3 linked regions of the Pelodiscus sinensis genome follow. The protein of the gene in region 3 purifies or fractionates together with the protein of the main gene of each other region. This does not show direct contact. Links are inferred from orthologs where the notes say so. Each region holds a gene or a part of one and is shown on either strand. Other genes may lie near its edges.

Region 1 (7,858 bases), on a different chromosome or scaffold from region 3:
CTAAGGAGATGGGGGTTCACTTCCCAGCTGTGCCACAGGCTCCCTGGGTGGCCATGGGCAAGTCTCTTCACCTTGCAGTACTTCCGTTCCCCATCTCCCAAAGAGGGACCAATCTCTCCTGCCTCCATGAATAGTTTTGGGGCTCAGTTTCCACTGGGCTAGGAAATGATTCACTAGGTTTTTTCTATCTCATAAGCCCCCCTTTCCACACACACACTGGCTACGTCTACACTGGCATGATTTTCCGGGAAAAGTTTTCCGTTAAAAGCATTTTCGGAAAAGCACGTCTAGATTGGCAGGATGCTTTTCCGTAAAAGCACTTTTTGCGGAAAAGCGTCCGTGGCCAATCAAGACGCGGTTTTCCACAAAAAAGCCCCGATCGCCATTTTCGTGATCGGGGCTTTTTTGCGGACAACAATACTATGCTGACTACACTGGCCCTTTTGCACAAAAGTCTTTCGGAAAAAGACTTTTGCCCGAACAGGAGCAGCATAGCATTTCCGGAAAAGCACTGACGATCTTACAGAAGATCGTCAGTGCTTTTCCGGAAATTCAAATGGCTAGTGTAGACAGCTGGCAAGACAGATGATTTTGCGGAAAAACTTGCCAGTCTAGACACAGCCACTGTGATCCACGCTGGGGAGCACTGATGGCATATCCTGCATTCCCCCTATTCTACACCCCCCCCCCCCTTCTGTGCAAATGCATGCTCCTTGAGATTTCGGCTCAGGAACAAACCAACGAAGGTGCTGGAAGTAGGGGGGTTGCAATCGCTGCAAGGCAGGGGAGTGGGGCAGCACAGGGCTAGACTGGTCCAGGCCCTGATCCTCACTGCAGCCTGGGCATGCTAATGAGCCCAGCTGTCAGGCTGGACTCCCAGAGGCAGCTGGCTCTTGTGTGGAGCCTCTAAGCATCTATGTATCATGTATCTCCCTCTTTGCCCCCATCCAGATGGCACAGTAAATCTCTGAGGAGGGAGGCCTCTACCTACCTTCTCAGGACAGCTGTCTGTCTCTGCTTTCCTCTTCCGAAAACTGCAGGCTTAACTGACTCACATCCCGACCAATGAAGGGGCAATCAGGGAGACAGCAAGAGGGAGCAAAGGAGAGGAGAGAGAGCCTGCTAACCACAGGACAGCACCACCTAGAGCTGCAGAAAACAGGCTGTGCAATGCTTGCTTTTTCAGGAGAGGCCGACCAGGCTGGCTCAGTACCCTGCAAAAAACACACCAGAGCTGCAAAAACAACGAGGAGTCCTGTGGCACGTTAGAGACAAACAGATGTATTAGGGCATAAACTTTTGTGGGTTAAAAGCACTTCATCAGATGAGTTGAAGTGGAGTTTACAGAGGCGGGGATGTGTGTGTGTATATATATATATATATATATATATATACACACACATGGATAACAAAAAGAAAGGATAAACTTAAAAAACAACAAATAGTCTGGTAGCACTTTAAAGACTAACAAAACATGTAGATGTATCATGAGCTCTTGTGGGCTCAACCCACTTCTTCAGCAGTCATCTGAAGAAGTGGGCTGTGTCTATGAAAGTTCATGATACATCTATGTTTTGTTAGTCTTTAAAGTGCTACCAGACCATTTGTTGATTTTTAAGTTTATCCTGTATAGACTAACTCAGCTACCCCTCTGAAGCAAAAGAAAAAGGGTCAATCATCTAATGAAGTGGGTTCTACTGACGAAAGCATATGCCCTAATCAACTTGTTAGTCTCTAAGGTGCCACAGGAATCCTCATTTTTTAAGATACTGACTAACAGGGCCACCAGTCTGAGACTTTAAACCAAACCTGTTATCTAACTCCAGATTCACACCAATGGCTCATCCGTGGCCCCATGTTCTTTGTAACTTCACAGGGAGGAGACCCTGCAAATTGTTTTGTTCGCATTGAAGATGCAACTGCCCAGCCGAGCTGTAGGAAAGAGATGTTTCTTCTGTGCTTATCTGGTGGCTTCCTGACCCCCAGCTGGGAGGCCAGAAGCCCTCATGTTCCACTCAAGTGGGGCTCTCCTGAAACCTGTCCCCTTCCTCCAGTCCTCCCACGCCCTGGTGCAAATATGACACACACACACAAAAAGGAAATTTAAGGCAACTAATTGCCACTAGAATCACACCTATTTTAAAGCAAAGTGTGCTGGAACAATTTTTATAGTGGGGGTGTTGAGAGCCATTGAACCAAACTGTAAACCAGGGGTCTCAAACTCATTTTACCTTGGAGCCAGTGCCAGTCCTCAAATCCACCTAGTGGGTCAGCAGGCACCCCTCTCTAGCAGGGTTCGGGGGGGAGTCTCCACACATTCACACCCCCCACGTGTCTCCCGGTCCCAGCTGCTAGTCTATGCACTCTTCTCCCATGCATCCCCCGGCACTGTCTGCCATCTCTGGGCAACTTAACCCTCCCCCCCCCCACAGGGGTTCCGGTGCCGCTACCAGTAGCACGGCAAGGCTAGAGCAGCTCCTCGCTGCTAGCGCTGCATCCCTGTGGCCCAGGAGAGATGTGTGCAGAGCCATCCCATCCATAGAACGATTTGATGCGGCCACCCCGGGCCCTGTGCATTGGGGGGAGCGGGGCCCACAGCAGCCACCCCAATCGTCCTATGGACAGAATGGTCCCCCATACTTAGTGATAGAAATGTAGCTGTGTTAGTCTGGTGTAGCTGAAACAAAATACAGGACTATGCAGCACTTTAAAGACTAACAAGATGGTTTATTAGATGATGAGCTTTCGTGGGCCAGACCCACTTCCTCAGATCAAATAGTGGAAGAAAATCATCACAACCATATATACCAGTGTTCATTTTTTTTAATTGTATCCTTTGGTATATATGGTTGTGACGATTTTCTTCCACTATTTGATCTGAGGAAGTGGGTCTGGCCCACGAAAGCTCATCATCTAATAAACCATCTTGTTAGTCTTTAAAGTGCTACATAGTCCTGTATTTTGTTCCCCATACTTAGGTTAGCCTGTGGGGCCTGGGGCAAGCTGGGGCTAGCAGAAGGGTTCAGGCTCCCCCTTTCCCCTCCCCCCACTCGCCACAGCAGGGAGAGCTGCAAGGAAGTGGAGCTACATAGCATGTCTGAAAATATGGAGGGAAAGTTCCCCCCACTCCCACCAGCCTGATCTTCTTTTCTTTGAGATTCCAGATGGTTATGAAGCTAGCTAAGCTTTCCGGCTGCAAATATCCTGAAATCCAGAGTGACGGTTTAACCCCCACCGAGCGTTAAGAATATTTGAGATGACCTTAGCTCAGATCTGGCCATTGGTGTGAGAGAAAGCAAGAAATGGCTTTTAAAAGGCAACATTATGATGATTAATGTTTTTTAATTATACATCAAGCACCTGGAGAAGCTTCAGGCAACCGCTAAAGCAAGTGAAGACACATCTCCTGGCCTAGAGAGTGCACAACCTACATGCAATCCAACACAATCCTGCAAGGAGACCCGCATGGGCTGATCCCTTCTCCTGCATGGATCCCCACTGGAGTTAATGAGACTCTGTGGGGCAGCAGGAGTCCACCTGCACAGGTCTCTTTTGCCGAAGGTCCTAAGTAGGAAATACCACAGACTCAACCTATTTACCATTGTAGGCTGCATGTGCAACTCTCTCCGTGTTATGTGGGTTGCAACTGCATAATAGATATATTACTTGTACAGCCCAGGGGGATGTCACGTGGGCCGTAGTTATGTGCTGATTGGGTTGTGGGTTGAGAACCACTGGCCTAAGGCATAGGCACAGCTAAATGTTTAGGAAGCCAATTATTTTTACATGACTATTATCTGTTGATGTGGTTACGGTGACCGTTGGGTGCCATGTGACAGGGGTTTAGCAGAAAGATGCCTTAGCATGGCAGTTCACTATTTACAACCACATTCTCATAGCCATTTATTATCACCTGTGTGACAATCATACCTAGGCGGGCTCTTTGGGGGATCAGGATGCATTGTGCCGGGTGCTGAACAAACCCCAAGAGCTCATCATGCTGCATTGCCGGGGGGCCCTCATGGCCACTGTCACTTCGCACCCATCGTCGCTCCATGTTGTGCCAATCTCAGGTGCCCTCTATAAGTCACCATCATGGCTCCCTTGCTGCCTCCCAAGCAGGGTCCCCCCCCCCAGCACCTCCCCTCAGGCTGGCCAAGTTTGGGCTCATCCGAGCTGGGCAAGGTGCCTCCCATCACCCCAGGCTGGTCAGTGCTCCCCCCATCCCCCAAGCTGGCCGGGGGGGGCCCATTCCCATCCCCCAAGCTGGTCCAGGGGGCCCCCATTCCCATCCCCCAAGCTGGTCCCCATTCCCATCCCCCAAGCTGGTCCAGGGGGCCCCCATTCCCATCCCCCAAGCTGGTCCAGGGGGCCCCCATTCCCATCCCCCAAGCTGGTCCCCATTCCCATCCCCCAAGCTGGCCAGGGGGCCCCCATTCCCATCCCCCAAGCTGGTCCAGGGGGCCCCCATTCCCATCCCCCAAGCTGGTCCAGGGGGCCCTCATTCCCATCCCCCAAGCGGGCCAGGTCTCCCCGCCCCACGTATTTCTACCCCCTCCCCCGGGCTCCCCCTCACCCTCGGGCTGGCCAGGGTCCGGGTCCCCCATCCCCCAAGCTGGCCAGGCCAACCCCCCGTTCCAGCCTCCCAAGTTGGCCAAGGCTCCCCCCTGGGAGATTGGCCCTTCTGGCCCCTCAAGCGCCCTCTCGGTGGCCCCTCCCGCGGCGGGCCCCTCTTGACGGACCGCGCCGGCCTCTCTTTGCTCCCGGAAGTCGGTGTCGCTTCCGCTTCCCCCCCTCCCCCCGCCGCCGCCTCTCTTTCCCCCTCCCCAGGCTGCCGGCCCGGCTGTAAGATGGCGGCGGCGGCCGAGTGCGATGTGATCATGGCGGCGGCCGAGGGAGCCGGGCTGCTGGGCGGCGAGGAGGAGACTCGCAGGTAGCGGGGCGCCGGGGGGGGGGCTCAGGAGAGAGCCGGGGGAGGGACTGAAGGGGGGGTCGGGGCCCCTTGGGGTGGGGGAGGGGAGTGGGGCCCGGTGGGGGGGGGTTCTCAGCCCCAGCCCCCCCCCCCTCGCGGCCCTGTGACCCTCCCAGCTCCGGGGTGTCTCAGGGCCCCGGCCCCCTCCCGCACTATGGGGGGGGGGAGGGGGGAGCGCAGCACCAGCCCGCCCCCGCCCCGCTGGCCCCCGAGGTTATCAACCCTCCCTCCGCCTCTTCCTTCTGTTGAAATCCGCCCCCTCGGGCGGGGTGATGGGGGGGTGCCCCTGTGACACCCCCCCCCCACAAGGATGCTCTGTGCAGATGCCGCTCACCCCGGTGATCGTTCAGGAACCCCCCTTTCAAGCTGAGTGGGTGGGGGGTCGGGGGTGAACCTACCAGCTAAAGATGCATTTCTCCCCCCCACCCCGCCATAGCCCGAATGGTTTTTATACCTTGCCATGTCTATAACCCCCTGGGCCTACTGGGGGTTTTATAACGGGTAACTCCCAAGGAATGCCGTCTGGGCATTTCTAGTGCACCCAGCCCTGGCGGCAGTGTCCAGGCTGTAAATCCCTGCACCATAGAGATTACGGTATAATGAACAAGGATGGATGGTTGATCAGTAACCGGGGAGAAGGTTATGGTGGGCTGTTTCACTGGACCAATCTGAAGGCAGATGGCAGCAGATACATGCTTAATACTTACTGTCCTGACTCTGCAGAATTGATTTCAGCCCTGAAGAACAGGGGGGGTTCACAGTGGAGTCAGGGAAGTTCAACAATTCAGTTCCCTTCTGCCCTTTAATAAGTATGCTTGGGCTTGTTTAGTTTGGAAAAAAGAAGATTAAGGGGGGACATGATAGCGGTTTTCAAATATCTAAAAGGGTGTCACAAGGAGGAAGGAGAAAATTTGTTCCTCTTGGTTTCTGAGGACAGGACAAGGAGTAATGGGCTTAAAGTGCAGCAGGGGAGGTTTAGATTGGACATTAGGAAAAAATTCCTAACTGTCAGGGTGGTCAAATATTGGAATAAATTGCCAAGGGAGGTGGTGGAATCTCCCTCTCTGGAGATATTTAAGAACAGGTTAGATAGACATCTGTCAGGGATGGTGTAGATGGAGCTTGGTCCTGCCTTGAGGGCGTGGGGCTGGACTCGATGACCTCTCGAGGTCCCTTCCAGTCCTATTATTCTATGATTCTATGCCAGATTTGGGGAGCATGGCCAACAGCCCCCAGCATGTGATGCTTTGTTTCAGGGTGGTTTGGCTTGTATGTCAGATGCTAAGCTCTGGCCTTTGCCAGACATGCCTCTGTGTTAAAGGCAGGGGTGATTCCAGTTGTGGTCTATTATACAGAAAAGGTGCAGTGGTCTTTTGGCCAAATCTTGTGCCATATAGAAACCCCAGCCTACTGTATAGTGCCCGTGATGGGTGCTATACAAAACACTGATAGGCAGTAATTCTGGGTTTCCGAGAGTTTTGTGTCCTTCTCTCAGGACAGGACTGCTCTGGGGATAGCATGCTCCCGTCTTTATCATTTCTGCCCAGAGGCAGTATCGATTAGCACTGCCATTTTCAAACTGGGGGTCAGGACCCCAAAGTGCTGACTTAGACTGGTTGAGGCCAAAGCAGAAGCTTAAGACCCATTGCCCTGGGGCCAAAGTCCGAGGGTTTCAGCTTTAGGTAGTGGGACTCAGTTTACAGGCCCTCTGCATGGGACTAAAGGCCTTGGGGTTCAGTTTTGGCCTTCCCCATGGGGCAGTGGAGCTTTGTCTCCCTCCTCCCCCAGACCATGGGGCTCAAGCTTCAGTCCCCCTCCTGGGGTTGCATAGTAACTTTTGTTGTCAGAAGGGGGTCACGGTTGTGAAGTTGGAGAATCCCAAGACTAGGGTTAAACTCTGTATGTGGTGTGGAGGGGGAATCCTCATGGCTCAAACCCCTTGAAGGTGGTTCAGATCCTTTTCCCTTCTCTAACTCCATTGCCTGAGGACTTCACAGTTACAATTGCACCTACCTGTACAGAACAGTTACTGTTGGAGATGTCTGATAGCGTGGAGCAAGTTACACTCAGAGTCCTGCTCTCAGATACCTGTCCTGTGTCAAAATGTTCTCTGGGTATGGTGGTTCTCCAAAGTACACTATGTTTTGAAGGCAGGGTTAGTAATTGTTGAAAGACCAAATCAGCTTCGTGCCTAAAGCTAGTTGGGAAATATTGCCCTGTGGTGCAGATACCGTCTGAGGTGTGGTGTGGTGAGAATCCCAGCCCTTTCCTCTGGTAATGAATTCTCTTTACAAGAGCAAGTGCTTTTATCTCCACCTGCTGCTGTGCTGTTGCAGTCACAGCAGGGGATGAAATTTAAAGATCAGCCTTTAAGAAACACCGTGCTAAGTTCAAGTGTTTAAAACAGGCAGGTGAATCTCAGCAGCCGGATGTCTCCGGGGGGGAATACCACCCCATATAGGATGTGGCAGAGCCTGTCATTCTAGAGAGGGGTTCACCTCACTGATGCAGGAAGGCAAAATGAAACTGAAAGGTACCTTGGAGTAGTTCCAGTTTCAAAAGGGCGGCCTGTGATATGTGTACTGCTGCTGCTTAGCTCTCAAAGGGTGAGGCCAAGGCAGTGGCATCGGAAGTATTTGTAACACCTTGAGGGTGTTAATTACATATATAAATCACGTTGTAGAAAAGGCACTTCAATGCTACATAAAGGATCCAAGTGTCACAGAGTTACAGAAATTCTTAGTACTGGGAAAGCCCTACAAAGTTTCATGTAATCCACAGCCTTCCTGTGGCTAATGTAAGGTTGTTCCTTAAAGTATTCTCTCCAGGGCTTTGTTCGCTTTAAAATGACTACTTTAAATATTAAAAGTATCAACATTTAAAAAC
Region 2 (8,067 bases), on a different chromosome or scaffold from region 3:
AAAAGTGATTCTTATAGATCATCGTGTTCATAGCACTTGAGCCTTCACATCATACACTCTACATTCACAAAGTTCTTCCCAGTCAATGGGCTCAGACAGAAATCCAGGCAAGATCATCTGGGTACTAACCAAGGTCAGATTAAGGCATAAGTAGCTTCTGGAGTCACATGATGAAATGGGAATCTCATCTTTAATTTAAAAAAGTGCATCTACCTATAGTCTGCAGGCAGCCCAAAATAACAGCTGAAAGAGATTTGAATTGTATCATTCACTTTAACTAAATCTTGCTATACACAATATATTTGAAAGCTTCAGAGGGGTAGCTGAATTAGTCTGTAACTGGAAAAACTTAAAAAATTGGTAGTAATAAACAACCTAGAGAAAACAACATATTTGGTAGTAATAAAGACTATATTATTTCTTTTAAAGATAATACTAATTCCTCAGCTACTTGATGTAGCAGCTGCTGAAGTTTTAAATGCAATTCCCTTCCAGTACATTATTACTTTTGTTTACTATCAATTTGTCGGGGTGGTTGAGAAGGAGAAGATGGAAGGAACATGATGACAGAAGGGATGGATAGAAACAGAACCAAAAAAAGGGGTAAATATAAGGGGTATATTTTCATGGCTTATATTTTACCTAGATACTGGATGGATAGATGCTGGCAATAATGCCAGAGAAGGAAATCCTTCTTTTCTATTTCTCAGTATTTGACCTTTGCTTATATTATCTCGGTTTGGTAAAACCTAACTCATCCTGGCTGTTGATTCTTTACTCTATTTCAAAGCAGGCTCAGAACACTTTCATCTTTCAACATTATTTTCTTACTTTATGTATTTTCTGGTGGGTTATGTGGTAGTTTAACATTTTTGGTTATACATAGCATAATGCGGCACTGGATTGAGGCAACAAGGGTCTCTCAGGAAAGAAAATGCATAGTCTGCAGAATGGTGGGCTGACATACAGGTGGAGAAGGGAAATACCTTTAGGCAGAAGCATGTCTCTTTCAAATGTGCATTAACAGGCCTCTCTTTACTTTTTGTCCCCCTCACCAAAGCTACCATCAGCCTCACTTTCAAGTATCTGTCACTGTGTGATCTTTCCAGGCAGTACAGGCAGTATCAGTGGGAACATTTTCACCTCAGGTTTCACACTGGTTGAACTCCAAGTTTTAACCAACTCTCTTCCCCCAAATCTTGAGCAAGAGAAGGGCTAATGGCAGGGGTGACTGGTGCCTGCAACAGGAAGGGGTACAGGAAGGGCTGGGCAGAGGTGCATCCCATTTAGCAATTAAAATGTCGGCATAGGAGGGCAGTGCATCTTCTGAGTGCTACCATGACTCACCTATAGCAGGTAGATCATTCTTCACAAGGCTCAGAAGTACTTGGACAGCAACAGAGTGGGGAAGATTTATTCTTTCTGCATAAATGCATGAAGACAATTGCCTCCCTATCCTGAAACTATGTATACTGCATTCTAGAGCACTTTAATGAGGCACATGTAGGCAAAGAGCTCAGACAGGTAGCTGTGTTAGTCTGTAACTTTAAAAACAATGAGTAGTCCTAAGGCACCTTAGAGATTTCCTCTCATCTCATCTGAGGAAGTGGATTTTGCCCACAAAAGCTTATGATACTATATTTGTTAATAGTTAAAGGGGTTCACCTGGGCAGAAGGGTGAGAGGCTGCTCTTTATGCAAGATTTAAAGAGAGAAGTCTCTTATTATTAAATACAACCAGGATCTCCTCCTAAACCTTTATATATATATATATATATATATATATATATATATATATATATATATATATATATATATATATAAAGATCTGGCTGGCTTGGGCCAAGAACCACACAGGAGATTACTCTGTGCCCCTATGGGCCAGTGCAGCCTCACATAATGCCTAATGTTTCCACAAGGTGCCAAAACAAATGTGTTATTGTAATTACCAAAATATTAGCAAGATGTTTCTAAAGCAGTAAGTACATCTTAGAGCCAAAAAAATTAAATCCACTGGTCCAAATAATAATAATCCAATATAATTATTTATAATATGTATGTAGTGATGCATACGCTTCTTGTATTTTGGAGAAATTTGGACCACAATGCAGGAGAGACTGACCTATCTTTGTAAAATGCATGTGTATCAACATCCTATCCAAACCCTCTTTACTCTGGAAAAGCTCAGATCTGGTTTCAAATATCATGATTAAACCCCATTCTAAATTGTGTTTCATGTGCCAGAATAAGCTAGTTAACTCAGAAAAGTCCCGAGAATAGCAGGCATTGTTTACCACTTATTCACACATAACACAGTAACTACTGTATAGCGTTCAACTTACTAAAAGCCTAACAAGTGACCCCTTCCTTTAAAATGCATGATCAAGACACAAACTGCACGAACACAACCTAACTATAATGAAGATTTTTTTTAAAAAAAGCAGAAGTGATATTAGTTTCGTTTTTTAACATTACAGAGAGTTTCCTAGAACCTCTGCTCCATGACTCAGCAATTTTCAGGCTGGTTATTTATTGTGAGAGGACACCCAGCCTATGTGGGGCAGAGGTAAATCAAAACAAATCTCAGGGGAAACTCAAATAAAGCTTCTGAAGCTGTGGAAGGAAGCAAACGGGGCTGGGTGAATATGGGTAATGTTGTATAGAAAGGGAAAAGCTTGAGAAATGCATTTTCAACTAAAACAGTCCCTAGGGGAAAAAAATGGCAAATGAATTTTAATGTTGTTAAATGCAAAGTAATGCACATTGGAAAAAAATAATCCCAACTATACATACAAAATGATGGGGACTAATTTAGCTATTACCACTCAAACAAAAAACAGGACTATGTAGCACTTTAAAGACTAACAAGATGGTTTATTAGGTGATGAGCTTTCGTGGGCCAGACCCACTTCCTCAGATCAAATAGTGGAAGAAAATTGTCACAACCATATATATCAAAGGACACAATTAAAAAATGAACACATATGAAAAGGAAATATGTTCAGATGTGTTCATTTTTTTAATTGTATCCTTTGGTATATATGGTTGTGACAATTTTCTTCCACTATTTGATCTGAGGAAGTGGGTCTGGCCCAAGAAAGCTCATCACCTCATCTTGTTAGTCTTTAAAGTGCTACATAGTCCTGTTTTTTGTTTCAGCTAAATCAGACTAACACGGCTACATTTCTATCACTATTACCACTCAAGAGAGAGATCTTAGAGTCACTGTGGATAGTTCTCTGAAAACAGGCCTGTACACAGGAATTTGTGTGGGGGTGATTTTTTTGTAAATGTGGACTGCAAGAGTTTAAATACACCCCCCTCCCATGGTTTCCCAAGTAAGCAGGGAAATCAGCCCCAGCCTTCCCCCAGCCAGCCAGAGCATGGGGGAAGGAGGCTCAGGTAGCATGCCACTCCCTTTCCATGAATAGCTGGATCATGCTTACTTGGGGGAGCATAGGAGAGTGCTTTTGCACCTTTTGCACACACCCTGCGTACAGGCCTGGAAAACATCCACTCGATGTGCAGCAGCCGGCAAAAAAGCAAAGAGAATGTTAGGAATAACTTTAAAAGGGACAGAAAATATCTTATTGCCTTAAAAATCCATGGTGTGCCCACATCTTGAATACTGTATACAAATGTGATCGTCTCATCTCAAAAAAAGCAAGCTATATTGGCATTGGAACAGGTTCAGAAAAGGGCAAAAAAATTTTAGGGGCTTGGAATGGATGCCATATACAGAGAGATTAAAAAGACTGGGGCTTTTCAGTAGAGAAAAAAGGAGACTATGGGTTTACAAAATCATGACAGATATGGACAAAGTGAATAAGGAAAAGTTATTTACTGGTTCCCATAAGAACTAAAGGTCACCAAATGAAATTAATAGGCAGCAGGTTTAAAACAAAAAAAAAAAAGGAAGTTTCTCTTCACAGAGTGTACAGTCAACCTGTGGAACTCCTTGCCTGAGGATGTTGTGAAGACCAGGACTTTAAGAGGGTTAAAAAAAAGAGCTAGATAAATTCATGGAAGTTAGGTTCACTAATGGCTATTAGCCAGGGTGGGCCGGAGTGGTGCCCCCCTAACCTGTGTTTGTCAGAGGCTGGAAAGGGATGGCAGGAGAGGGATCGCTTGACCATTACCTGTTCTGTTCATGTGCCGAAAGTGTCCGTCTGCTATGTACATTGGACAAACATCTCAGACACTTCGCCAAAGGATTAATGCCCACAAAACAGATATCAGACAAGATCACAAAGAGAAAACAGTTTCTTGCCACTTTAACCAGAAAGGACACTCTCTAAATGACTTAGCCACCCGCATTCTGCTACAAAGACCTTTTACATCTGCACTTGAAAGGGAATCCTCTGAACTGTCATTCATGTTAAAATTCGACACTTGCCAACAAGGACTTAACAAGTCTTTGAACTTTCTCACCCATTACCAAGACAGTTTCCCCAATTATCACCTGTAATACCATTAACTCACAAACATCCCACTCTCCCTACCTTTAATATCAGCAATTCACAGACACTTACCTTCCTTCCTCCCCCTTCCCACCCCCACCCCCCTGCATCCCCCTTCTGTTCTGCAATGTGATTTGTCCTTTTCATATTTGTTCATTTTTTTTATTGTATCCTTTGGTATATATGGTTGTGACTATTTTCTTCCACTATTTGATCTGAGGAAGTGGGTCTGGCCCACGAAAGCTCATCATCTAATAAACCATCTTGTTAGTCTTTAAAGTGCTACATAGTCCTGTATTTTGCTGTTCTGTTCACTCCCTCTGGGGCACCTGGCATTGGCCACTGCTGACAGGCAGGCTACTGGGCTAGGTGGACCTTTGGCCCGACCTGTTCTGTGCAAAGCAAGGGAGGGAAGTGCAGCAGCGAGGCAGAGCACCGCCCTCCCCCAACTTTGCTCCGCGAGCCGGGCCCAGGGCCAACGCGGGGAGGGGGCGTGGCCTCGGGCGGCCGGCGCCCCTCCCCGCTCGGGGGGCGTGCGCCCGAAGGACACGCAGGGGCGGGGCTCTGCCGCAGAAGGCGAATGGTGGCGTCGGGCGGCGCGGTGACGTCGCGCGTGCGTGGGTGACGCCGCGGCGGCCTCTCTCATTCTGGTCCCGGTCTCGTCCTCGCTGCCGGCCCCGCTGCCCCCTCGGCCTGTCCCGCGCGCGCCGCCAGCCCGCCCCGTCCCTGCGCCATGGCGAACGTGGCCGACACCAAGCTCTACGACATCCTGGGGGTGCCGCCCGGGGCCTCCGACAACGAGCTGAAGAAGGTACCGGCCGGGGAGGCGCCGCGCCGGGCAGGCCCCGCTTGGGCAGCCGGGAGGTCACGATGAGGCGGGGAGGCCCCGGGCCGGGCTGGCGGGGGTCAGGCCGAGCGGAAGGCCCCAAGCGGCTTCCAGGCGAGGCCGCGCCGCGAAGCCGCTTGGGGCCTGCCTGGCCGGCGCCGGGGAAGGCGAGTAGGCCGCGGGGAGGCGCTGGAGGGAGCGGGGCCGCGGGTGGGGGAGGGGATCCTGGCCGGGCGCTGGGGGGGGGGGGTCTCCGCCTAACGTGAGGGGGTCGACCGGGTTCCCTGCCCGGAGCCGCCTGCGCGTGTCTCCTCACTGCGTGCCCCGTGCGCTGAGGGAGCGTCGCCTGCTCTCCGTGGTGCCCTGGGGGCCGATCCCATCGCGATTGGAGGCTTCAGCCCTGAAACCTGCTGAAAGTGGCGTTCCAGCCACTGCCATTGTCTGACTGCAGCAGCATGGGCCCCCTTTGGGTCTCCCCGGCCCGTCCCTGTGGAGCTGGTCTTTCCCAAGCTGAAAGCACCTAGGGAAAATAAACAAGGAAGCTGAGCATTAGAGCCCAGTGTTTTGGGATCCTCATTACCCTATACCCATCACTGACCTCTAAACGTGTATTGGTTGTATTAATCTTCTAGTATGCCAGCCACTCCTTACCCACTTCCCAACTGCATCACCTAGCACTTAAAAGTACATCATAGCCTTGGTTAGGTATTTACTGGTCACCGCCTGTGATCCCTTGGAATAATGGTGGTGCTGCTGCAGTGAACTAGGTATCTGCACGTGATAGCCAAATTTGTTTGGGGTGGGCATTAATTGTTATGAAACTATATGTCCAATACGTGTTGATAAAAGGAAGCTATGAAATGATGGCAGCCAAGTATGATCATACTGTCTACAGAAAGAAACCTTGTTTGGGGCATCTTGTTTGTTGTATGAATGGTGGTCTTGGAAACGCAATTGTTTAATACCTATAAAACAAAACAAGTACATAGTCCAAAGTATACTTAAATAGTTAATGGTAAAGTTGCCAGCTATCTCTCAGTGCCAAGCACGTAATCTCTCGTTAATTAATTTGGACCTAACTGGGTGTCTAAATACTGAGAACGTGTAATTCTAATGTCAGTACCAAGCAAATTAGTTGAAACTATAATACAGAATAAAATTATCAGACACGTAGCTGAACATAATTTGTTGGGGAAAAGTCAACATGGTTTCTGTAAAGAAAAATCATGCCTTACTAATCTGCTAGAGTTCTTTGAGGGAGTCAACGAGCATGTGAACAAGGGGGATCCAGTGGATATAGTGTACTTAGATTTCCAGAAAGCCTTTGACAAGATCCCTCACTAAATGCTCTTAAGCAAAGTAAGTTGTCAAGGGATATGAGGGAAGGTCCTTTCATGGATTGATAACTGGTTAAAAGACAGGAAACAAAAGATAGGAATAAATGGTAAGTTTTCAGTGTGGAGAGAGAGAACTAGTGGTGTCCCCAAGGGTCTGTCCTGGGACCAATCCTATTCAATGTATTTATAAATGATCTAGAGAAAGGGTTCAGAGGGGTAGTCAAGTTAGTCTGTAAGTAGAAAAACTTAAAAAAAATAGTCTAGTAGCACCTTAAAGACTAACAAAACATGTTGATGGTATCATGAGCTTTCATGGGCATCATCCACTTGTTAGTAAGTTATGTTTTGTTAGTCTAATAGCATCTTAAAGGCTATTCATTGCTTTTTAAGGTGTTTTTTTGTTTTGTTTGTTTTTGTGGGGGGGGGTTTTAAGAGAAAGGGGTAAACAGTGAGGTGGCAAAATTTGTAGATAATACCAAACTGCTCAAGATATTTAAGACCAAAGCAGACTGTGAAAAGATTCAAAAAGACGTCACCAGACTAAGTGATAGGACAACAAAATGGGAAATTAATTTTAATGTTGATAAATGCGAAGTAATGCACATTAGAAAAAATTATCCTGTCTATGCATAAAAATTTGATGGGGGTTAATTTGGCTACAACTACTCAAGAGAGATATCTTGGAGTCATTGTGGATAATTCTCTGAAAACATCTACTCAATGTATAGCAGCAGTCAAAAAAAAGCAAACAATGTTAGGAGTCATTTAGAAAGGGATAGAGAATAAGACAAAGGATATCATATTGCCTCTATATAAACCCAGGGTATGCCTACCACTTGAATACTGCATACAGATGTGATTGCCTCATCTCAAAAAAGATATATTGGCATTGGAAAAGGTTCAGAAATGGCTAACAAAAATGATTAGGGGTTTGGAACAGGTCCCATATGAAGAGAGGTTAAAAAGACTTGGGCTTTTCAGCTTAGAAAAGAGAAGACTAAGGGTGGGAGAGTATGATCGAGGTCTATAAAATCATGACTGGTATGGAAAAAGTGAATAAGGAAAAGTTATTTACTTATTCCCACAATATAAGAAGTAGGGGGTCACCACATGAAATTAATAGGGAACAGGTTTAAACAAACAAAAGGAAGGTTTTTTTTTCCCACTCAGGGCATAGTCAACCTCTGGAACTCCTTGCCAGAGGATGTAGTGATGGCTAGGACTTTAACAGGGTTCAAAAAAGAACTAGGTAAGTTCATGGAGGTTAAATCCATCAATGGCTATTAGCCAGGATGGGTAGGAAAGGTGTCCCTAGCCTATTGTTTGTCTGGAAATGGATGACGGAGAGGGATCATGTAAGGTTTAGCTGTTGTGGTCCCTCCCTCTGGGGCATCTGGTATTGACCACTATAAGCAGTCAGGCTACCGGGCTAGATGGACCATTGG
Region 3 (7,288 bases):
ACGACTAGCAGCCGGGGGCACCAGAGCGGCGCCTGAGCTTGCAGGTTTGGGCAGGCGGGGCTGGGGAGTTATACAACGTTCCTTTCCTCTAAGCCTGGGAAGGGTGGCGCTGGCAGAGAGCCCCCGGGCCTCGCATCCCCACAGCCCCTCGCTCCCACCCACAGCCCCGCCGGCGCCCCTCGCTCCCGCCCCCGGGCCTCGCATCCCCACAGCCCCTCGCTCCCACCCACAGCCCCGCCGGCGCCCCTCGCTCCCGCCCCCGGGCCTCGCATCCCCACAGCCCCTCGCTCCCACACACAGCCCCGCCGGCGCCCCTCGCTCCCGCCCCCGGGCCTCGCATCCCCACAGCCCCTCGCTCCCACACACAGCCCTGCCGGCGCCCCTCGCTCCCACCCACAGCCCTGCCGGCGCCCCTCGCTCCCGCCCCCGTCACAAAAGTGCTAGAAGTTCACGGAGATTTGGAGTCCGCTACGAGTCACGTGGGGCAGCGAGATGGGGGGGGGGGGCAGCGGACCGTCAGAGCTCCCCCCGCCGCCTCCAACGTGGCTGCACGCAGGGGGGTCCCTGTCTGGAAGGGGCAGGGGAGAACCGAGACCCCTCCCACGAACCAACTGGAGCCTGCCCTTGTTATGGGCGGAGAGCAGGTCCAGTCCCCCCACCGCGGGGTTCAGGAGGCCGGAGACCCCTGCAAGGCGGGGAAGGGAGTTTCCAGAGACTCCCCCGCACGGGGATCCCGGACACTTACCCGGGGCGTCCCCGCCCGGCCCCGATTCCCTGCGGCGCGCCGGGCTGGGCGGGAGGCGGCGGCGCTGCCCGGGAAGGGAAGTGGGGGAGGGGGCTGGAGCCAGTCCCGGGACAGAGCAGCCTCCGCCCTATCCCAAGCAGGGCACACTCCGCCCCACAGGCTGGGTCCCTGTGGGATGGTGGGGGCGTTGCTCGGGGAGACCCTACAATAACAAATACTGCTGCTGTCCTGAGCGCTCCCCAGACTCTACTGGGGATCAGGACAGAGCCATGGGCTGGGAGGTCAGGCCCGGCCCGGCTCTGGGGTGCGTCTCCCGGCAGCCCCTGGCTCCCCCAGCCCTGCCAGGGCCCCGCACTCCCAACCCGCAGCCCCTGCCAGTCCAGCCCCGTACCTCTGGGGAGGCTGGGAAGCTGCCAGCAGGCAGTGCCTGGCAGACACGCCCCAGAGCCAGCTGCACCCAGCTCCATAGCTGAGAGCAGGGAAGGCTAGGCGGGACCCAGGCATCCAGAGATCTGCAGGTAAGGGGGGTGGACAAGGGACTGAGTGGCCCGGATTGGGGTAGGAAGTAAGGAATTAAGTAGCTTTGGGGGACAGAGGAAAGGAATGGCAGGGCAATGGAGGTGCCAGGTTCCCTGCCCAGGGATGGGGCACAGGGGAGCCATTGGGGTGATGCTGGGAGGGGGGCTGGGTCTGAGGGCCCCTGCACAGATTGTGAGAGTTCTGAGGGAAGGAGGTTGCAGCTGCAACCCCCATGAGTTGGGGGGCAAAGACCCCCACCACAGACCCTGCCAGAGCCCCTGCTCTGCCCCACAAGCCACTGGGCAGATGGGGTTGAGGCTCCTGCGGTGCTTCTGCTGGGCTGGGCATAGCAAAGGGGCCCTCAGCCCACAGGTGAGTATCTCTCATCCTCCCCCCACCCATTCATCCCTTACTCCAGAAGCCCCCTTCCCAGACCCCCCCCCCCACCCTGCATCCCACTCCCATGCCCTCTTTCCCCTGCAAGCAAGCCACTGTCCTGCTCCAAGATACCCAACCTTTTCCCTTTCCTGTCCTCCAGCAACCCCTGGTCATCCCATAGAGGGGGGACCTGCCCCCCAAGCCCATTCCACACCCTCCACCTGTAGCAAGCTGGATGCCCCAGCCAGAACGCATGAGTCTCCTACCACCAGCTGAGCTGTGCCATCACAGCCATTGACTCCATGTGCTGATGAGGGCAGCCCCATGGCCCCAGCCTCCTGCGGCCATCAACTCCACGTGCTAATGACTGAGGCAGCCCCACAGTGCCAGCCAGTCTCCTGGCTCCAGCTCCCCATGGCCAGAAAATCCACATGCTGACTGGGGCAGCCCCATGGCCATCGACTTCATGTGCTGATGACTGGGGCAACCTCATGGTCAGGGATTCCAGCTGCTGGCATGGAAACAGGGACCCCCAGCACCAACCAGCCCTGCTGACAGCACAAAGACTAGGACTCACAGAAAGGCCCTAAGCCAGCATCCCAGATTCCCCTGCCCTTTGGGCTAAACTCTCAACCCTGCAAAGAGCTCTCACCCAAGAGGGCCCCTTATGGTTGGACATGGGGTTGGAGGGGGTTGCGGTAAGCAGTGGGAGGCAGGATGTGTTAATTCCCCCCCCACATCCATTTCCATTAAGAAGATTCAGAGCCAGGTGAGGTTTTGGTGTAGGAACCTGGGCTGGGGGGACACTGGCTCTGAGCCAGAGTGGCCCCCAAATGCCCACCCTATGCCACAGCCCAACAACTAGAAACTTCTCCCACCAGTGTCACTCCTAGGCTGGCAAGGGCTGTAGGGCAGGAGTGAGGGTCAGCAGCACAGCTGGGGGAGCCTATGACTGGGGTAGCAGGGGCTGTGTATCAGCATTGAAGGGCACCAGATGTGCTCCATCAGGTCTCATGTAGGGGCTGAGGCTGGTGGGCAAGATTGAGTGGTGCCAGTTGTAAACAGCCCCCACCCCAGCCTGGCCCCTTTGCACAACTTAGTCCCGGCAGAAGACCAGCCCCTGGATCTGCAGGGCAGAGAATAGGCACATTCTAACCCCCGCAGTGGCTGCATATCAGCACCAGGTTAATCCGAGTCCAGGCCTCCCCGCTCCCCTCCACAGACAAGGAAAGAATCCAGGAGTCCTGGCTTACAGGCTCCCCTCCCCCAAGCTGGGCAGGGAACCCAGGCATCCTGTGGAATCATTGAGGCACATCATGGGTTCCATAGTTTAATAAGTCAGTGGCACAGGGTGTGTAGGGTGTCCTCCGTCAAGCAGCAGAGAAGCGTGGCAGCTGGTTTCCCAGGATGACTTGCCGTTCCACGCCCTGTTCTGTGATGGCAGCCAGCCGGATCACCCCCCCACTCGAGCCATCCCGGTCCATGGCCAGTGCTAGGGCTGCAAGGGGAGAAGAGGAGAGCATACGGGGGGGGGATAAGCACAGCATAGATGCCTTGGGCCAACCCCTCTGTAACAATATGGCTTTTCTGTAGCCATGTTGGAAGGCCTGAACCAAATCCACCTTCTGCAGCCAGACTGAAGAGCAGTAGCCATTAGCTGTAAGGCCTCAAGTCACATCCTCACATTCCATCTAAATTGTATTCAAATAGCATCACACCAATCTGTGAGGAGGGGATTTTGTCCTGATAGCTCCTCCACTGTTACCAGATAAAGAAACAGATCTCAAGATGGGTAAAGAAAACTTAAACAGTTTCTTGCCAGACAGAATGGTGTTACTTATCAATAGAGAATGTTGTGGAATCCTCATTCTATGATCATTGTCATTACACTTTCCTATTGTTTGACTGAGAGATCTGTCTGGTTTAACTGTTCCTGTCTGCTGTATAATTAATTTTGCTAGGTGTAAATCAATTAAGGTGGTGGGGTATGATTGGTTAGTAAAATTATACTAAAATAATTGGTTACGGTATAGCTAAGCAGGACTCAGGTTTCATTATATAAACTCAGGTCCAAGAAGGAGACCAAGAAGAAGATAGAAAGTAACAGAAGCAGAAGGAAAGAAGCAAAAGGCTGGAAGACCAAAAGCAGACAAGAAACACCAAGAAGAAGGGGGAAGACCTAGAAGAAAAAAATCACCTCCGAGACACAGCCTAAGACCAGACTGTGACTGCAGCAGCTAAGATCTAGAGAGATCTTCCCCTTCCCTGGCCAACAGGGGAAGTCTGCCTGTACCAGGATTGGTGAGCATGACACTGTGTGCTTAGCATGTGTATTCTGCTTGTTTGGGAATTGTCAATAAATAGAGGATACGGATATTACTGTGTGAGGCTCTTTCAGTGGCTAAAGATCCTGCCTAACCCGCAGAAAGATGTGCCCTGAGCCTTAGGAATTGGGTACGGGTGAGTGTGTAAATTAACAGGGTTGCACTTTGAGCCCTAGGAACTGGGTAAAGGTGTGTATCCCTACAGTGTGGAAGGCATAGAGAAATCTGAGCGGGTAACACCTCCTTCTATGGACATACAACCCACACTGCCATCCTGGATGCCTGGGTCCCAGCTGCCCAGGATAGAGGGGTAAAATCCCGTTTAATTATTTAATCAGTTAAACATTAAGGCAGGCAGGGGCTGCTCCTGGGCAACATGTAATGCTTACTGGGTAACTAGTTACCCATTCACATCCCTAGCTGTGAGAAGCTGAGGGTCTACTCACCATTGGCTGTGAAGCGCAGACACTCCTCCTGGTTCATGCCCGGCTTGTAGGAGGCATCAACGAAGCCATAGATGTAGGAGCTACCTGAGCCACCCACTGAGAAAGGCTGGCGAACCATCATCCCACCCATGGGCACCGAGAACACCTTGGGGCAGAAAGACGGAGAGATCATGGCTGGGACAGGGTGGCTGGTTACACAGGACCTCCTCACCCGATGCTGAGAAGCCAGGTACACAGGGACTAGGGATGTTACAATGCATTTAATTAAACGAGTTACTGCTGAAAGTTTCAATGGTTACATGGTTATGCGTGGGGGGGAGGGGGGGGGAGGAGAACAGCTCCTCATGACCTGGTGTGCACCAGGTGCTGGCTTTTAAGACAGCTCCCCACACGTGACCATATACACAGTCACTTTCAAATCCCTAATAGGGACTCCTTGCCCAGTGCTGAGATGCAGCCACCTGTGGGGCGGGGCAGCTGGCTACAGAGACCCCTTGCACAGAGCTGAGATGCAGCTGCCTGTGGGGTGAGATGGCAGATTACCCAGGGACCCTTCATCCAGTGCTAAGTTGCAGTCACCTCTGAGGCCCCCAGTGATCCCTTGCCCCACTCCCTGTCCCACAGTGCTCGTTAGAGATACCCTGACTCTGCGTGCCCCCAAGGGCTATGTCCCTAACTCCACCTGCTGGGCTGAGCCCTAGGATGACACCGCTCACCTGTCCCCCCTTGCGCCTGTCCCAGCCAGCAACGATGATGCCAGCGGTGAGGTCCTCGCGGTAGCGGTAACACATCTCCTTGAACAGGCTGGCGGCCGTATGCACCAGGGGTGGCTCGTCCAGCTCAATGCTGCAGGGGGAGGGAACCACAGTCAGAGAGGAACCAGGGACTGACTTCTAGGGGGTGCCAGCTCCTGCCCAGCCCCTGCACAGGGACAGGCTGGCTCAGATGGCAGGGAATGGAGAGCCTGCTCTGATGTGGCCCAGGGCAGGTACCTGTGAAAGCCCAGCTGATAGGCCACGGCATCAGCAATGGCCTGCGTGTCAGCAGCAGAGCCAGAGCGGCAACAGAAGATCCGATCGTGGATGGGCGTCAGTTTGTCCGTCACTCGATTAGCCACATAGGAGCTGTGGAAGGTGGAGTCAGATGATCAGTGCCCTACAGAGCCCCACCGCCCTGACACTCTACCATAACAAACTTGCCCATGAGACGCAGGTGCCAACGGAGACGACACATCCGGCCCCAGTGCACTCAGGAAACCCTACAATAACACTGGGCCAGGGATGTGTCATTTCCTCACCGCCCCATCGGTTAGACACCTCGTAACCACCAGCCTCCAGTAAGAATGTAAAAAGTTTTTAAAATGTACCCGTGTAACTGCTAAAAATCTCAGTGATTATATGCTGCAGGCTCTGCAGTATGAAGCAATAGGCAATGAAGCCTCCCTGGACTGCCAGTCCAGCTTCCCAGGAGAAGGCTCTGCCACCGGTGCACTCCCAGGGAGCCAGTGTGCAACCTGTGAGGCAAAAAGGCCAGGGGGTTCTCTGGCCAGCTGGCAGGAGCAGCCCCTACCCGTGGAGGGCCCCACAGGGCTGAAGCAGCTCCCGTGGGGCTGGAGCTGTGGGAAGGAAGCTGCTCCAGCCCCCACAGGTTAAGGGTGATGCTTACCGGTTAACCAGATAACCATTTACATCGCGAGCATCCAGAGCCTGCAAAGGACTCTTGCATGGCCCCTGTAAACAGTCTGCCCTGCCCCACAGGAGACCCTATCAAAACTCAGCCACCGCCCAAGTTCCCCTGGGGGATCATACTAAAACACAGCCACTGCCCTCCCTCAGGATGTAGCAAAAATGTATATTTTAGTATCGGTTATAAGCAGGGCCCACCGAACCGTGGCAAGCCCTGCTCACCAGCTGCACTTTTCGGCCCGAATCCGGCTCTTCCGGGTTACAATCTATTCGCCACGGGCAAGTAGACTGTATTATTTGTCGAGCCCTCATTATAAAACTAGGTATGATGTATAATTATTTGCAGGCTCGACGATTGCAGCAAAAACCACTCGCCAGCCCCGCACTGCGCATGTGCGAGACCAGCACTGCACATGCGTGAACCGCCAGTGAACGGGGTGACCGGCTGAAAACTACTCCCCATGGGCGAGTAGATAAAGCCGATTTGTCAAAACCTGATTATTTGATGTATAATGACTTGCTTATAAGTTCTATCTGCTTCTATTTCTCTCTCTGTCTCTCATGAGTAGATAATGTTACTATAAGGCCTTGCTCCCTGTTAGCATTACAAATTAAGTTGTAACCCTTGTCTGCATCACAAACTAAGTTGTGTCTTTCAGTAATTATTGATCTTGTCTGAAACTGCACCTTTGTGTGGTGTGAGTAGAAGGCGTGTGAATGAAAGCCATCACAGATGCGCAGATGATCAAGAAGTGGAAACTTTGAAGACAATAAGGAACCCTGCATTGTGTCTTGAGACTGAATTAAATTGGCAGCATGGACAACCTTGAAGACAGGTAGAAACCCCACCAAGAGTGAGAGAGAACGATGAGAAGCCTGACAATCACTATCAAAGGTCAAAGATTAACACCTCCTTTAAGGATGGGTGATTGCAGCAAAACCCATAGGCTATGTCTACACTGGCGGGTTATTGCCTAAGAATCCGCAGAGTGTCTACACTGCCCGCCTGCTCTTGCGAAAGGAAATTTACAGTATGGCATGGAAGAGACGGCTCCTTGTGCAAGAGCTATGCTCTTTTTTAACACGTGTAAGCCCTCTTTGCACAGGAGCTCTTGCGCAAGAGGGCAGTGTGGACACTCACCAGGGATTTCTTGCACAAGAAAGCCCGATGGCTAAAATGGCCACCAGAGC

The links.
Region 1: the proteins of PLD2 (region 3) and DNAJC7 purify together in Homo sapiens (affinity purification with mass spectrometry; 3 studies listed by BioGRID and IntAct, counting the BioPlex papers as one, with this or other methods). This does not show direct contact. The link is inferred for Pelodiscus sinensis from reciprocal best matches to the Homo sapiens genes PLD2 and DNAJC7.
Region 2: the proteins of PLD2 (region 3) and DNAJA2 purify together in Homo sapiens (affinity purification with mass spectrometry; 3 studies listed by BioGRID and IntAct, with this or other methods). This does not show direct contact. The link is inferred for Pelodiscus sinensis from reciprocal best matches to the Homo sapiens genes PLD2 and DNAJA2.

What each region holds. Positions count from the first base shown.
Region 1 is NC_134739.1:9,682,691-9,690,548, forward strand, and holds the start of DNAJC7 (dnaJ homolog subfamily C member 7), read left to right. Parts: upstream 1-4,779; 5' UTR 4,780-4,850; coding exon 4,851-4,933; intron 4,934-7,858. UniProt on the Homo sapiens protein: Acts as a co-chaperone regulating the molecular chaperones HSP70 and HSP90 in folding of steroid receptors, such as the glucocorticoid receptor and the progesterone receptor.
Region 2 is NC_134722.1:27,730,879-27,738,945, reverse strand, and holds the start of DNAJA2 (dnaJ homolog subfamily A member 2), read left to right. Parts: upstream 1-5,059; 5' UTR 5,060-5,192; coding exon 5,193-5,270; intron 5,271-8,067. UniProt on the Homo sapiens protein: Co-chaperone of Hsc70. Stimulates ATP hydrolysis and the folding of unfolded proteins mediated by HSPA1A/B (in vitro).
Region 3 is NC_134734.1:8,309,144-8,316,431, reverse strand, and holds the start of PLD2 (phospholipase D2), read right to left. Parts: upstream 3,013-7,288; 5' UTR 2,935-3,012; coding exon 2,896-2,934; intron 1,264-2,895; exon of another isoform or gene 1,126-1,263; intron 874-1,125; exon of another isoform or gene 746-873; intron 1-745. Other genes in the region: PSMB6 (proteasome subunit beta type-6), read right to left, coding at 3,013-3,140, 4,413-4,557, 5,129-5,258, 5,405-5,536.